Linked DNA regions of Schizosaccharomyces pombe. The protein of the gene in region 2 interacts with the protein of the main gene of each other region in a pairwise test. Each region holds a gene or a part of one and is shown on either strand. Other genes may lie near its edges.

The links.
Region 1: the proteins of sid1 (region 2) and pab1 interact in a two-hybrid assay, tested with the Schizosaccharomyces pombe proteins (one study listed by BioGRID).

Annotation. Positions count from the first base shown.
Region 1 is NC_003424.3:506,567-511,591, reverse strand, and holds pab1 (serine/threonine protein phosphatase PP2A regulatory subunit B-55 Pab1), read left to right. Parts: upstream 1-1,698; 5' UTR 1,699-1,900; coding exon 1,901-1,944; intron 1,945-1,988; coding exon 1,989-2,029; intron 2,030-2,106; coding exon 2,107-3,389; intron 3,390-3,411; exon of another isoform or gene 3,412-3,432; coding exon 3,433-3,456; 3' UTR 3,457-4,070; downstream 4,071-5,025. Other genes in the region: cleavage and polyadenylation specificity factor complex subunit Yth1, read left to right, coding at 256-425, 522-812, 872-923; yip5 (Rab GTPase-binding protein), read right to left, coding at 4,300-5,025. UniProt on the Schizosaccharomyces pombe protein: Phosphatase 2A affects a variety of biological processes in the cell such as transcription, cell cycle progression and cellular morphogenesis, and provides an initial identification of critical substrates for this phosphatase.
Region 2 is NC_003424.3:1,983,559-1,991,965, reverse strand, and holds sid1 (PAK-like GC kinase Sid1), read right to left. Parts: upstream 6,269-8,407; 5' UTR 6,210-6,268; coding exon 6,093-6,209; intron 6,037-6,092; coding exon 4,738-6,036; 3' UTR 4,604-4,737; coding exon of another isoform or gene 4,495-4,603; 3' UTR 4,458-4,494; coding exon of another isoform or gene 991-4,457; 3' UTR 732-990; downstream 1-731. Other genes in the region: mitotic septin Spn4, read left to right, coding at 1-179; inp53 (inositol polyphosphate phosphatase), read left to right, coding at 991-4,457, 4,495-4,603; putative mitotic spindle organizing protein Mzt1, read left to right, coding at 6,422-6,616; SPOM_SPAC9G1.08C (phospholipase), read left to right, coding at 6,673-7,398; SPOM_SPAC9G1.07 (Schizosaccharomyces specific protein), read right to left, coding at 7,528-7,713, 7,759-8,407. UniProt on the Schizosaccharomyces pombe protein: Has a role in the septation initiation network (SIN) required for cytokinesis.

The DNA.
Region 1 (5,025 bases), 1.5 Mb from region 2:
TTAGATAAAAAGAATATGTTTTATAAAAGTTATTTTATTCGTATGCTGCATAATATCATTCTTTACTTAGGTTTCAAACATACCTATGAAGAAAACCTTAAAACAATAGCGATTTCATGAATATTATAAGAATAATTTAATTCGTTCTAGTTTAATAAGCATCATTTATAGTATGTGAATGCCAGTCAATAAAGTATTTGTGATATTCAAGTCAACTGAACAACGTTGCCTCCGCCATCTACTGGTTACTACAAAATGACTGATTATATCAAAGATAAAGCTATAGCAGCTGATTTTTCTTCAGTTCAATTTCGTTTTGATAACTATTTAAAGCAAAATTTTAATTTCGGAAGGTCTGCCTTGCTAAACTCTGGAAATGGACGCGATTCTGGATCGAAAATGGGTAGCGTGGTTTGCAAGCATTGGTATGTATATATAAAGAAGAGTAATATGAATATATATTTCATGTATTTTTCTATTTGTTTTTGTTTCTACCTTCATGATAACTAATATTATATAAGGCTTCGTGGACTTTGTAAAAAAGGTGAACAGTGTGATTTTTTACACGAGTACAATTTAAAAAAGATGCCTCCATGTCACTTTTATGCAGAGCGCGGCTGGTGTTCTAATGGCGAAGAGTGTTTATATCTCCATTTGGATCCCAGTAAACAAGTTGGTGTCTGTGCCTGGTATAATATGGGATTTTGTCCTTTAGGACCTATATGTCGAGGCAAACATGTACGAAAACCAAGGCCTTGCCCAAAATATTTAGCTGGGTTTTGTCCGCTAGGCCCTAATTGCCCAGATGCTCAGTAAGTTTTTTGAAGAATTATAGTGTTGACTTTCTCTTTCTATTACTAACATGTTCTAGTCCTAAACACTCTGAACCTCCGCATCCTCCTCAAAAGCGGAAAGACTGGTAAAGGATGCGTTTTTTAATGTGTCACTGTATATTAGGTAATGAAATCAAGTTATCAATGGAGTATATGCAATTAGTGATGCCGTACATTGATTATTGAGATTTTTTTTTATGGAATAAAATTAATTATCGACGTTGGGTTTGTCTTGGTTGCGGCGAACCAAATCGACACATAATCGGGATAATAGAAGTATTTAGAAACCGAAAAATAAGTTTTAAATAATAAGTCTCCCTTTTACATATGTTTTTTGCAACATAGAAGGAAAAGAAAATTTAGGAACTTAAGTATCGTTTACCAGTATGTAAAACGCTTACGTAGAGCGCCATCGTAATGTATCAAGGACGGTTTATTCATTTAATCATTCATACGTTATTCGTAAAATATTTGCTACTTTCCAGTTATGTTTCTTATTTTTTTGTAATTTACTTATCTGCTGTATTCAATTTTGCAAACTATAAAAACAATATGGATCTTTTATATGACAATGAACTTCTAGTTTTTTATAATCAAAAACACCTTTCTTTAGCGTACAAATGATTAAGGTTTCATTAATGGGAAATTGCCAACAAGTTTTACACTGGACTTTGTAAAGTTGAGCAAAAAATCCTATGTGTAGTAAAGCGTAAGATGAACACTGAAGTAATGAAATAGTGTTGTATTTATCAAAAATCCATTAATAACTTAAAGTCGCTTAAGGCTTGATTTACCGATAAAAATTTTACTGAGCTTTTGACTCGCCGAAGAGTGGTGTAGATTCGTTAGGGTAGCAGCATTTGATACGAACCATCAAGTTAGGAAAATCAGCAGCCCTCCAAAAAAGCCAGTGAAAACTGGGAAACTTTGTATCAAAACTTTTGAAAAAAGATCCAAAGACGGTATAGAGATACCCTTAGAAATTTGAAGATCAAGATCTTCGTATACAATTGAAATTGGCAAAGTGTACCAACGGGAACGAAATCTTAATATAATACGAGTAGAAGATGGATGATATAGAAGACTCTTTGGATCAGTGGAAATTTGCCCAGTATGTAAACGATGTGTGAAAAAAATTAATGACTAACTCTTTAGATGCTTTGGTGACAAGGGTGATGTGGAAGACATCACTGAAGGTATTGGTTTTGAGTAGTTCTCTCATAAAAGAGTTCTCTTTTACTTTAATCACTGAATAAATGACTAACAAGTTTAGCCGATATCATTTCAGCAGTAGAATTCGACCACACAGGTGATTATCTAGCAACCGGCGATAAAGGTGGCAGAGTCGTTCTTTTTGAGCGAAATCATTCGAAAAAGGGTTGTGAGTATAAGTTTTTTACTGAATTTCAAAGTCATGAACCCGAGTTTGATTATCTCAAGTCCTTAGAAATCGAAGAAAAGATCAATAAAATTCGCTGGTGCAAGAGGACTAATCGAGCGCATTTTTTACTCTCAACGAATGATAAAACTATAAAATTGTGGAAACTATATGAAAAGAATTTGAAAGTCGTTGCCGAAAATAATTTGTCGGACAGTTTCCACAGTCCTATGCAAGGACCTTTGACAACACCTTCGCAACTTCGACTCCCACGACTCAACCATCATGACATGATTATCGCTGCATATCCACGACGTGTTTACGCTAATGCACACGCATATCATATTAATTCGATTAGCGTTAACTCTGATGCAGAAACTTACATTTCCGCTGATGATTTACGTATCAACTTATGGAACTTGTCCATCTCCGATCATTCATTCAACATAGTTGACATTAAACCTGAAAATATGGAAGAACTTACGGAAGTTATTACTAGTGCCGAGTTTCACCCGATAAACTGCAATCATCTCATGTATAGTAGCAGCAAGGGAAATATCAAACTCTTAGATTTGCGTCAATCTGCGCTCTGCGATAATCCATGTAAGCTTTTCGAGGATCAAGAAGATCAAGATTCCAAGAGTTTCTTTTCTGAAATCATCTCTAGCATTTCAGACGTTAAGTTCTCACAAAATGGCCGCTATATTCTTTCAAGAGATTATTTAACTCTTAAGATATGGGATGTCAACATGGAAAAAGCTCCCGTTAAAACTATTCCATTGCATGATGTTTTGCGATCAAAGTTATGCGATCTCTATGAAAATGACTGTATTTTTGATAAATTCGAGTGTACCTTTTCTGGTGACGACAAACACGTTTTATCAGGAAGTTATAGCAACAACTTTGGGATTTACCCCACAGATAGTTCTTTGCCTGGCGATAGAGGACAGATAGTTTTGCAAGCCGACAAGGCTGCATTTAGAGCCAGAAAATCTGCTGCAAATAACGTTCCAAAGTTGAATGCTGTGAAAAATAATGATTGGCGGTCACAACCTCAAGCTGCGATGGGATCTGCTTCTGTTGGCCTTGATCCTGATAACCTGGATTACAATAAGAAGATATTACATGCCAGTTGGCATCCCTTTGAAGACTCAGTTGCCATCGCCGCTACTAATAATGTACGTTTGCTTATCAACTTTTTGTTTACTAATGTTTCAATAGCTTTTTGTTTTCTCTAAGCTCTAATGTCCTTATGTGGAGTTTGGTTTGTTTTTATGATCTACGGATAGACTGAACATAGTTCCTTTTTTATTGAACTTCCGGGAATAAGAGTTTTCTTACCTTCTTCTTTCAGATTGTATTCTTATATACACACACCATTTTAACCATTAATGACAGAAATAAAGTTTTTAGGACTAATGATAAAAGGGTGCTTTGTTTATCTCCCTTCATGTATGCCGTGAATCGATACATATGTACTTTGCTATCCACAGTATTTTTCTTTTTCTCTTTTTACGTGTTCCTTTTTAATCTTGAAATTGTGGTGATGCATCGTAAATTTCAACGTTTTTTCAATATCTCACAAAGTTTTTTTCTCTTGTTGAAAAAAATCTGAATTTGAAATCGTAAAAGTACTTTTCAGGTTAAGCTTCACCATTAATTTACCTTCAGCTCTTTTTTGTTGAACAACGAGTAATAATGTGTTAAGTTTTCTATATAAATGACGGGAGATCGATTGCAAAAATATGACTAAATGTCATAAAGTCTTTGGTTCACTAAAAAGGCTACAATTATTTTTACTAAGGCATGATTCATCAATGCATAAGAAATGATTATTTATACGTATTTTGCACCTGAAAAAAAAACCTAGTAAATTGAGGGAACATTAGTAGCTATAGTAAAAAGAGTAGAAAATCAAATGTAAAGCGAATATATGTATAAACTGAATCATATAGAGTATACCAACACTTAGACTCAATAGGATCTTAAATGCTGAATGACTTTTCTAAAGAATGAAAGAAGGGGAATAGTATAATTTTCGAATGAAGCAATGCGACTGATAAAAGAAACTCCTCACAAATTAGGATATTAACTGAAGAATATGAGTTGAAGAGACAAAGCGAGCAAACAGTGAAAGACGATAATTCCGAACAATAAAAGTTTGCACAAATTTGATCCGGCTTGCTGACAGATAGGATATAAATTTCTAGTTAAAAACACAATGGAAATTAACAAACCAATCCCTGTAAGTACATATTTGACAATATGGGAGGCCAAAGTAGATAGCAATCCAAACGGAGGAGTTGCTAAAGAAACGGGAAGCCAAACAATGTTAGCATATCCATATAAACACAGACAGTCGAGTAACTTAGGGTTGCATTTGTTCCACACTAGGATACCCCATAACAAAACGGCGATAATGGTAGTGTAACCATAAATAATTGATGCTGCAGAGATCAACTTTTTTATAGAATAGCCACTTGTACCATGCCCTGTGGCATAACGAGCGTATTCGGTAATTGAGTTGGAAAAGAATAGAGCCTGTATAACCGTAGTGGTTATCCAAAAAGGACCGTATAAATCGGGACGATCATCTACAACATCAAAGAAATTTACAGTGGGAATAAGAGTATGTATACATCGTTGAACCACATCTTTAGTTTCCACGTTAAATGAATCTTTGATGGTCCATGGCGTCTCTTGCATGGATGCGCGACGAGATTGTAATCTAGGGGCCGGAGGCTTTGTAATGGGAGTTCTCTGCTTATAAAGGTCTTCAGCCTCAAATGTTGTACGACCTAGGTCAGCTTCCGA
Region 2 (8,407 bases):
GAAAAAGATTTACAGAACAAGTGCGCGTAGAAGAAACTCGATTTCGACAATGGGAACAACGCTTGATTGCCGAACGCGACTCATTAAATAAAGATTTGGAAGCTCAGCATGTTCAAATAAAACAAATTGAACTTGAAATCGAACGACTAAAGGCGGCTACCAGCTCTCGCAAACGTTAGAGATAATGTTAAAATATAACGAAACTTGATACCCAATTATCATTTGGGTTTGTTTGCTAGTGAACCATACTATCATCTTTTATGGTCCTTCATTTCTAATACATAATGTCAAACGTCTATCTTGCCTCCCGTATAAATTACATTCTTTAGACAATCAATTAACTATATGATTTTATTTTATTTTTTCTATGCCTTTATACACTCTTTTATTGTGGTTTTATTCAACGTATAGTACATATGCTTTCATAAGTTGCTCAATTTTTATATAATTTTGATATCGAATAAATTTTCTGTATCTTATAAAATTTCTTGCATAAGTACTTAAAATTTCTCGTTTTGTGTCTTTCTGAAATAAAATTGTGCAATGTGTGTTTATAGTCAATGCTTAATAATATGTTACAAATATTTAGCTACATGACAATATGATCTTTCATTGCCTTGAGAATGGCTTTCAAAATTGTTTCTATAAATGTGAAGTAAACTATTTAGTTAAGCAATACAAATGCCTAAAAAATATTTGATAGTTTTTTGGAATTCCTAATTTGTATTATGCGAATTTCTACATCATCTTCCCTTTTGTTTTCTGTAAAAATGATTATTTGGAGTATTGTTGATGCGTGTGTTTGAGTGCACGAGGCTTTGTTTATTTCATAATAGGTCAGCCCACGCAGTGTCTTGGTTGTCTTTTTCCAACAATTAGCTGAAAAGCGCAAAAGGTCCAAACAGCACCTAATAGATTTTAGAAGTATTTAAAAAAGGTGATTTATTTAAAAAATTGATTTAAAGCATAAGATTGTCGTAATCATGGAACATGGCCTCTCGCCAAGGCTTCAGCAATGTGAATGAAGATGAACCCGAGTTGCCCCCTTCGGTTTTATCATTGAAATCAAAGTTCGAGTCATTGAGTACCGGTGACCTAACTAATTTGGACGAAAAAACTGCTAAAAGAAGAACTGTAAAAGGTTGTAAAAATGGCACTTCTGAGCCAAACGTTTTTAAAGCAAGACCTATTCCACCGCCGAGGCAAGTCTCATCGACTATAGGAAGTTCGACTGGACGAAAAGTTAGTGGTTCAATTCAAAGGCTAGCTTCTAATTTTAAAAATCCTTCAAACCCCCACGCTGATGTTTCAAAAATAGATCGTCTACCTAGTGATTCTTCTGAATCTCACGTAGCTACTCCATCTTCTCCTACTATATCTAATTCATTTGTTTCTGTTTCTCCATTACTTAAGCGACCTCAACAAAAAGGGCCTGAAATTTCTTTTCAATCATCTGTACAATCTACCAAAGGAAATGATCTAATGAAACACGATGATACCAATAATCATCAAATACCACCCCCTAAACCCAATTTTTCTTCGAAAGCAGGTTCTTCAAGCCCGATATCTGTATCTCCATTAAAAAATGTTAAGGCATATATTTCTCAGTCTCCAACTCACTCCGAAGCCTCTTCGGTTCTGTCTTCTGAAGAAGAAGAAGAAAACGTTATCAATTCTAGTAAAAGTGTGCCCTCCTTTGATTTGCATGATCCATTTAGCCAGACCTTTGGAAAGGAGTGTCCCATATCGACGGCGCCTCCTGTTTTGAACATTGGAGACAGGTCTTTGGAAACTCCTCCTCCAATTCCCTCTCCAAGACCTCCACAGCCAGTTGCTGTTGAGGCTATACAGCAATCGCGTGCGGTAATATCTCAACAATTACCGCTTCATGTATCTCCCCGAAAGCCCCCAAAACCACCGCTGCGTAAAGTTTCTACCCAGCGCTCTTCTTCCCCAATAGAGAATTTGGCTACTAAAAGTGACGCCAGTCTTGTTACTGGTTTACAGTCGTCTCCCTACACTCATATTGCTCCTGCATCAGAGATGTCTTTAATACCTGAGAAACCCAGATTACCTCCCCGTCCTAGTCACACTTTATCAGAACTGTCTAGTCCAGCTTTAACATCTGAAAACTTATCTTCTAAACCATCCCCTTTGTTTCCTCCACCACCACCGAGGGTGAAATCCTTAGCTACTAACAAACCTGTCTCTATGCCTGTTTCTACTGAGCAAAGTGATCCTTCTGTTGCTGCTAGTTCCTCTTCGTCATCGCAATTAGATGTTGTTTTAAAAGGAAGCATACCAGATACTTCTAGCGTTAGGAGGAACCCGCCCTGTTTTGTTAACGGTGTTGAATCAATTAACGTAGATTTTGAAGCTAGAATCTTTGATGTTAGTGGTGATCGCCTTGTTTTAGCTGGAAACGGAGGACTTCGTGTTTATGACACCGTTACTGGTCTTTGTCATTGGCATATGCCTCTAGGGGATACGAAGGTAACGTCCTTATCATTTAAATCATCCCCGGAGAATTACTCTGACGATGGCAGATTTGTTTGGTTTGGAACGAGAGATGGGATGTTATGGGAAGTCGATGTTCAAAATCATCATATCGTTACTAAGAAGTCTGTTTCCAATTGTCCTATTACTTACGTTATGGTCTATAAAAATGAAATGTGGACGTTGGACGATATGGGAAAACTGTATGTATGGCAGGAAGATGAAATTATGGGTTTAAGTATACAGTCTACTCCACATAGTATTCGCACCATTCCTCATGCCACTCATGCTATGGTTTTAGATAATCGGCTTTTATGGGTTGTTGTTGGGAAATCAATTTATGTATATGATCCTTCAACTTCAGAAAATGAGTCGGCAAGTGTTTTGGCGAAGCCCATGACTCCACCTGGTTTGATAGGTGATATCTCTTGTGGCACTACTATTTCAAACTTTACGGATTTGGTCTTCTATGGTCACGTTGATGGAAAAATATCCATCTTTTCGAAAACCCAATACCGTTTTTTGGAGCTAATTACTAGCAGTTCATTCTATAGAATTTGTTCACTAGTTGGTGTTGGAAATACACTTTGGGCAGCCTACACGACAGGCATGATTTACGTATTTGATGTTTCTGAGAGTCCTTGGCGCCTCTTAAAAAGTTGGCATGGTCATAAAGCAAGTCACAATGGAGCTACCACTATACTTGGTATTGATGTGAATAGCGTATGGAAAGCTAAAAGGCTCCAAGTTGTTAGTATGGCTTCTTCAGTTGTCAAGTTTTGGGATGGTTTAATGATGGGTGACTGGTTAGCTACCGAAATGCGAAGCCGCTTCCCAGAATATAGTAATTTTACTGACGTGTCTATACTTATTTGTTCCTGGAATGCCGGAGCTTCAAAGCCATCTGATCTAGATAGTGATACTATTGGAGCTAGTATGATTCCAATGATGATTCGAGACAATGGATACCCAGATATAGTTGTGTTTGGTTTTCAAGAGCTAGTTGATTTGGAGAATAAAAGACTCACAGCTAGAAGCATCCTTTCAAAGTCGAGCTCCAAAGGTGGTTCGTCTAACAGTGCTAATATTTCCAGTCAGTATCGTTTATGGCGTGAAAAATTAGAATCTGAAATGATGCGGGTAAGCTCAAACGATGATTATCAGGTTTTGGTATGTGAAAATTTGGTTGGTCTTTTCTCATGTGTTTTTGTAAAAAATAAGTTACAAAGCAAAATTCGGATGTTACAATCGACAACTGTAAAAACGGGACTAGGTGGTTTGCATGGTAACAAAGGTGCAATAGTCGTTCGCTTTCTGGTAGATGATACTTCATATTGCATAGTAAACTGTCATTTGGCTGCTGGTCAATCCAATAAAGCAGCCAGAAATAATGATTTGGCAACAATTTTAGACAATGCTTCTCTTTTTCCTGAAAATGATGAAACTGATCAATTGAATACATTCGTTGGTGGTGGCGATGGCTCTTTAATTATGGATCACGAAGTTTGTGTTTTGCATGGTGATTTAAATTATAGAATCAACACATTGAGACCTAAAGCTTTAGATTTAATTAAAAAAAACGACATAAAAACTTTGCTCCAAAGCGATCAGCTTCTTGTTGAGCGAAAAAGAAATGCCGGATTTCGTCTGAGAACATTTACTGAACCAGAAATCACGTTTGCCCCAACTTACAAGTACGACGTTCATAGTGAGCAGTACGACAGTAGTGAAAAAAAGCGTGTGCCTGCCTGGTGTGATCGTATCTGTTATCGTGGAAGTCCCGACTACATCTCTGCAGAAAACTATACCAGGTACGAACTGAAGGCATCAGATCACCGACCAGTATCTGCTTTAATACATTCCAAAGCGAAGATGGTAAATGCGCAATCTCAGGGGTCCACATGGGACGTGGTCAAACGAAAGTGGATTGAGTATGCTGATGAATTTAAGAGAAAGGCTAAGTATGTTTTTTTTTGGAGAATTTTGCTAACCAACCAGAATAACCTATGTCATGAATTATACTTCTGTGTCTTATCAAACGGCTGAACAATATTTGTCTGGAAATAACTGGAATGTACAAAATGCTTTAAAGCAAGTGTCAAGTTGATTTCGAATAGTTCTCGTTTGGATGTGTTTATATATATTATGTAGATTAAATTATAGTAGAATATGCCATTATAAGTTCATTTAAATACAAAATTGTGAATGCTGTAAACAGGTTGTTTACGAGTTTTTAGTAAGCTATCCATTTAGACTTCTTCTTTTCTCAGTTTCTTCAAGCCACCGTGAAAATAGTAGTTGTGATATGGGGCTCCGCTTTTGCTTTTTGTGATGCAGTCTGTTGTCTGGAGTAATTTGGTTAACAAATTTTGAGGACAGATTTTTATCTAAAGAAATGAAAGATGTATAAAAAGATTCTAAAGATGAGCGCTGCGTTGCTGACAATTTATCATTTAATAACATCGATCGTATGGTGGACTTAATATAATGTTTCATAGCAAAATCGGAAGTCAACGATTTATGATAAGAGCTACCTTTTTCAGACAATGACTTGGAAAAAGGATGCGGTGTCGCTTGATCACTCATTATAGTTTTCTCTAAATATTTTATTGATGAAGGCAATTCCTCTTTATTTTGTGAACTGATGATGGAATTTTTAGGAATGCTAGTATTCCCTAACACAGTTGAGTCAGATTTCTTTACAGTTTCAAATGTCCAATCCTCAATGTCAGCATTTCCTTCAGCAATTGGTTCTTCAAAGGGCTTTAAAGTATTATTTATGGTTTCTTCCAATACACTTTGATCCGAATCATCAAATAATTTATTCTCCTTCTGAACAAGCAAAGGAATAATGTCTTTCACAGTTCCTGCGCTTTTGATGAATGGGTGTTGAAGGAGTTCTTTAGCTGACCATCGCATATTAGGATTGAGATCTAAGCAGCAGGACACAAAATCACGGAATGTTGGACTGAAATGATCATCTAGCTTTGGAGGCTCGGATTGAGGAATTTCAAAGATGACACGCATTGGATGCATTGTAGCGCGGGGCGGAATTCCGTTAGCCATTTCAATAGCCGTAATTCCAAGAGACCAAATGTCAGCAGCTAAACCATAACTTGTTTGTTGTATTACTTCCGGTGCCATCCAAAATGGCGTTCCAACAAACGTGTGTCTACGCGAAGCAGCGTTCGAAAGTTGAGCGGCAACTCCAAAGTCAGCAAGCTTTACGTTTCCGGTAGAGGAAGATAGTAGTATATTGGCGGCTTTGATATCTCTGTGGATTTTGTTTTGTCCATGAAGATAATTTAGCCCATAAAGGACCTCTCGAAGAATGATTGAAATTACTTGTTCATTCAACCTTCCCATTTTCAAAAGTCCCGAAACTGATCCTCCATCCATATGCTCCATCAAAATCCATAATGTGTATCCGTCAACAAAACAACCGTAATACTGAATTACATTGGAACTGTTGCAATTCGATAACATAAATACCTCTTGTTCGATGTCGGTAATGTCGTCAATACCTGTTTCTAAATCAATCTGCAACTGTAAGTTTTTTGTGATACTAAAGAAGAGTAAAAATTAATTAGTCTTACCTGTTTAATAGCGATAATGTCGCCAGACACATTTTCACGTGCTTTCCAGACAACCCCAAATGAACCTGATCCTAATTTCCGTAGCAGAGTATAAGAATTAGCATTGAGAGGATACATTTCATCAATATTTTGACTGCTCAAATCTGAGGTTGAGCCTACTTTCGGTTTCGTTTTACAAGCACAAGCTAGATGCACCACGAAGTACTTTGTTTATTACTTAGAGGATTATAATGAGCTACTCCGAGACGCCTATTCCAGTAAACTTAACATTACCAACTTGTTACGAAGTATATATAATTAGACTAGTTTATTATAAAGTATCGAGTTTTATGTCTGAATCTACCAAAGAGACAATAGAAGTTTTATACGAAATAGGAACATTGCTTGGAACTGAACTTGATAAAACAACGCTTTCACTCTGCATCAGTCTTTGTGAAAACAACGTACACCCAGAAGCAATAGCTCAAATAATTCGGGAAATACGTATGGCTCAGGAACAAACTGTTGACACAGAACCAAGTTAATGGCAAGAAGTTTAATCTCAATAGTTGACCTCGGGGTTTAGTATTTCTTTTATCTAATGTCTTCTTTAAACAGTGTTCTACCTTCAAATGCATGCGCAGAGATTATTGAAGGGAAAGACAAGGTTCACAATGTAGTTATTTTAATGCATGGACTTGGAGATTCTCACAAGAGTTTTGCAAATATGGCAAAGAACGTTCCGTTGCCCAACACTAGTTATATTTCCTTACGTGGACCATATCGATTACCATTAGATTTTGAAAATCCTGGAGGCAATTGGATGTGGGGAGAGGATGTCCATTTTGATCAAAACGGGGAACTGCAATCTGAAGCCGATTTCTCTAAAAGTTTTACGATGATTTCAAATTTAATTGGCAATCTACTCTCTTACGGTATATTATCTTCTAGAATATTTTTTTTCGGGTTTGGTCAAGGAGCTATGGTTGCTTTATATAGTTGTTATAAATTGTCTACTAAATACCAGCTTGGAGGGATATTTTCCTTTGGAGGTACTCTACCGCTATCCATAACTTTGCCCAATCATCCATTTCATGTTCCAGTGTATTTGTTTGAAAAGCGATTGCATTGTTCATGCAGCGAATATGAAGAATCGCGATTACGTAAAACATTTAAACCATTTCACCTCACATGTTGGAATCGTGATGATAAAACTGACATGCCTTCATCCCCTAGAGAATGGTATACATTCGTTCAATCTATTAGTAAACATTTGTATATTCACAACACGTTGTTTGAAGATGCAATTCCTCTTACATCTTTTTAGAATTGATTTATTTAAGTTAACATTTGTTCACAATAAAGTTAATATTCATTTGGGCATAGATATAACAATAACTCCTCTAGCCATTATGTGATTAAAATTAGTACGTTTACCTTTTGATCATTAAGATTTTCAATCGACAAGATAACTAAGATCCGGAAGCTTATCAACAATTCTATTAATTAGTTGATTTTGGTCAACTGTTTTTATATTTCCACGCCCTGCTCTCTCATTATTAAGAAACGAAGTATTGATCGATTGAATAACAGCCGGAGTGTCTTTAGGAGCTGACAATGAAGTAGAAGGTGAACTAAAATTCTGAAAAATTAGAGTATTTGGCTCAACTTGAGACTCTTCACTTACATCATCAACGGAAGCAGAAGCTAAATTCGATGAGTTTTTCGAGGTATCTTGGGAACTGACCCATGAACCCCATTCAAAATTATCAGAGGTTGGATCCGGGGAAAGAGACGTTGATGAATTTTTTTTCTTCGTTTCTCTAATTTTTTCTTCAGAGTCAAGTTTAGCGATTGATGAATGTTCTTCGACTTCATCAACTTTTTTACGATCCAAACTTAGTGGTGATTTTGGAACAACTTCATCCTCTTTATTTATTGAAATTGTAGAACAACTGTTGCTTTCCCTCTCAATCAATTTGACTGGGGAAGAAAGGAAAGTATTTGCAGATAATTTGTGATCCTGTTTAACAGCAACTGTATTATTTAAAAGAGCCGTAGAAGAAGAATAATCCTTGGGAATTTCATTCGATGATAAATTAGAAAAATCAAGTATATCTGAAGGAACATTTATACTGGAAATCTTGGTCGTAGAAAAATTAGATAAAGGAGACTGTTCCGGTAACAAAATATTTTTGTCATTGATGGGCGGTGTGACAGGTGAATTGGTATAGCTTGCTGTTTTCCTTTTCTGCTTCTGATAAGCTGTTGACCAACAAAAAAGCACATTGCTTTTTCGATTTACATTAGACCGTTCTTGGTTCCATAAAGTCATA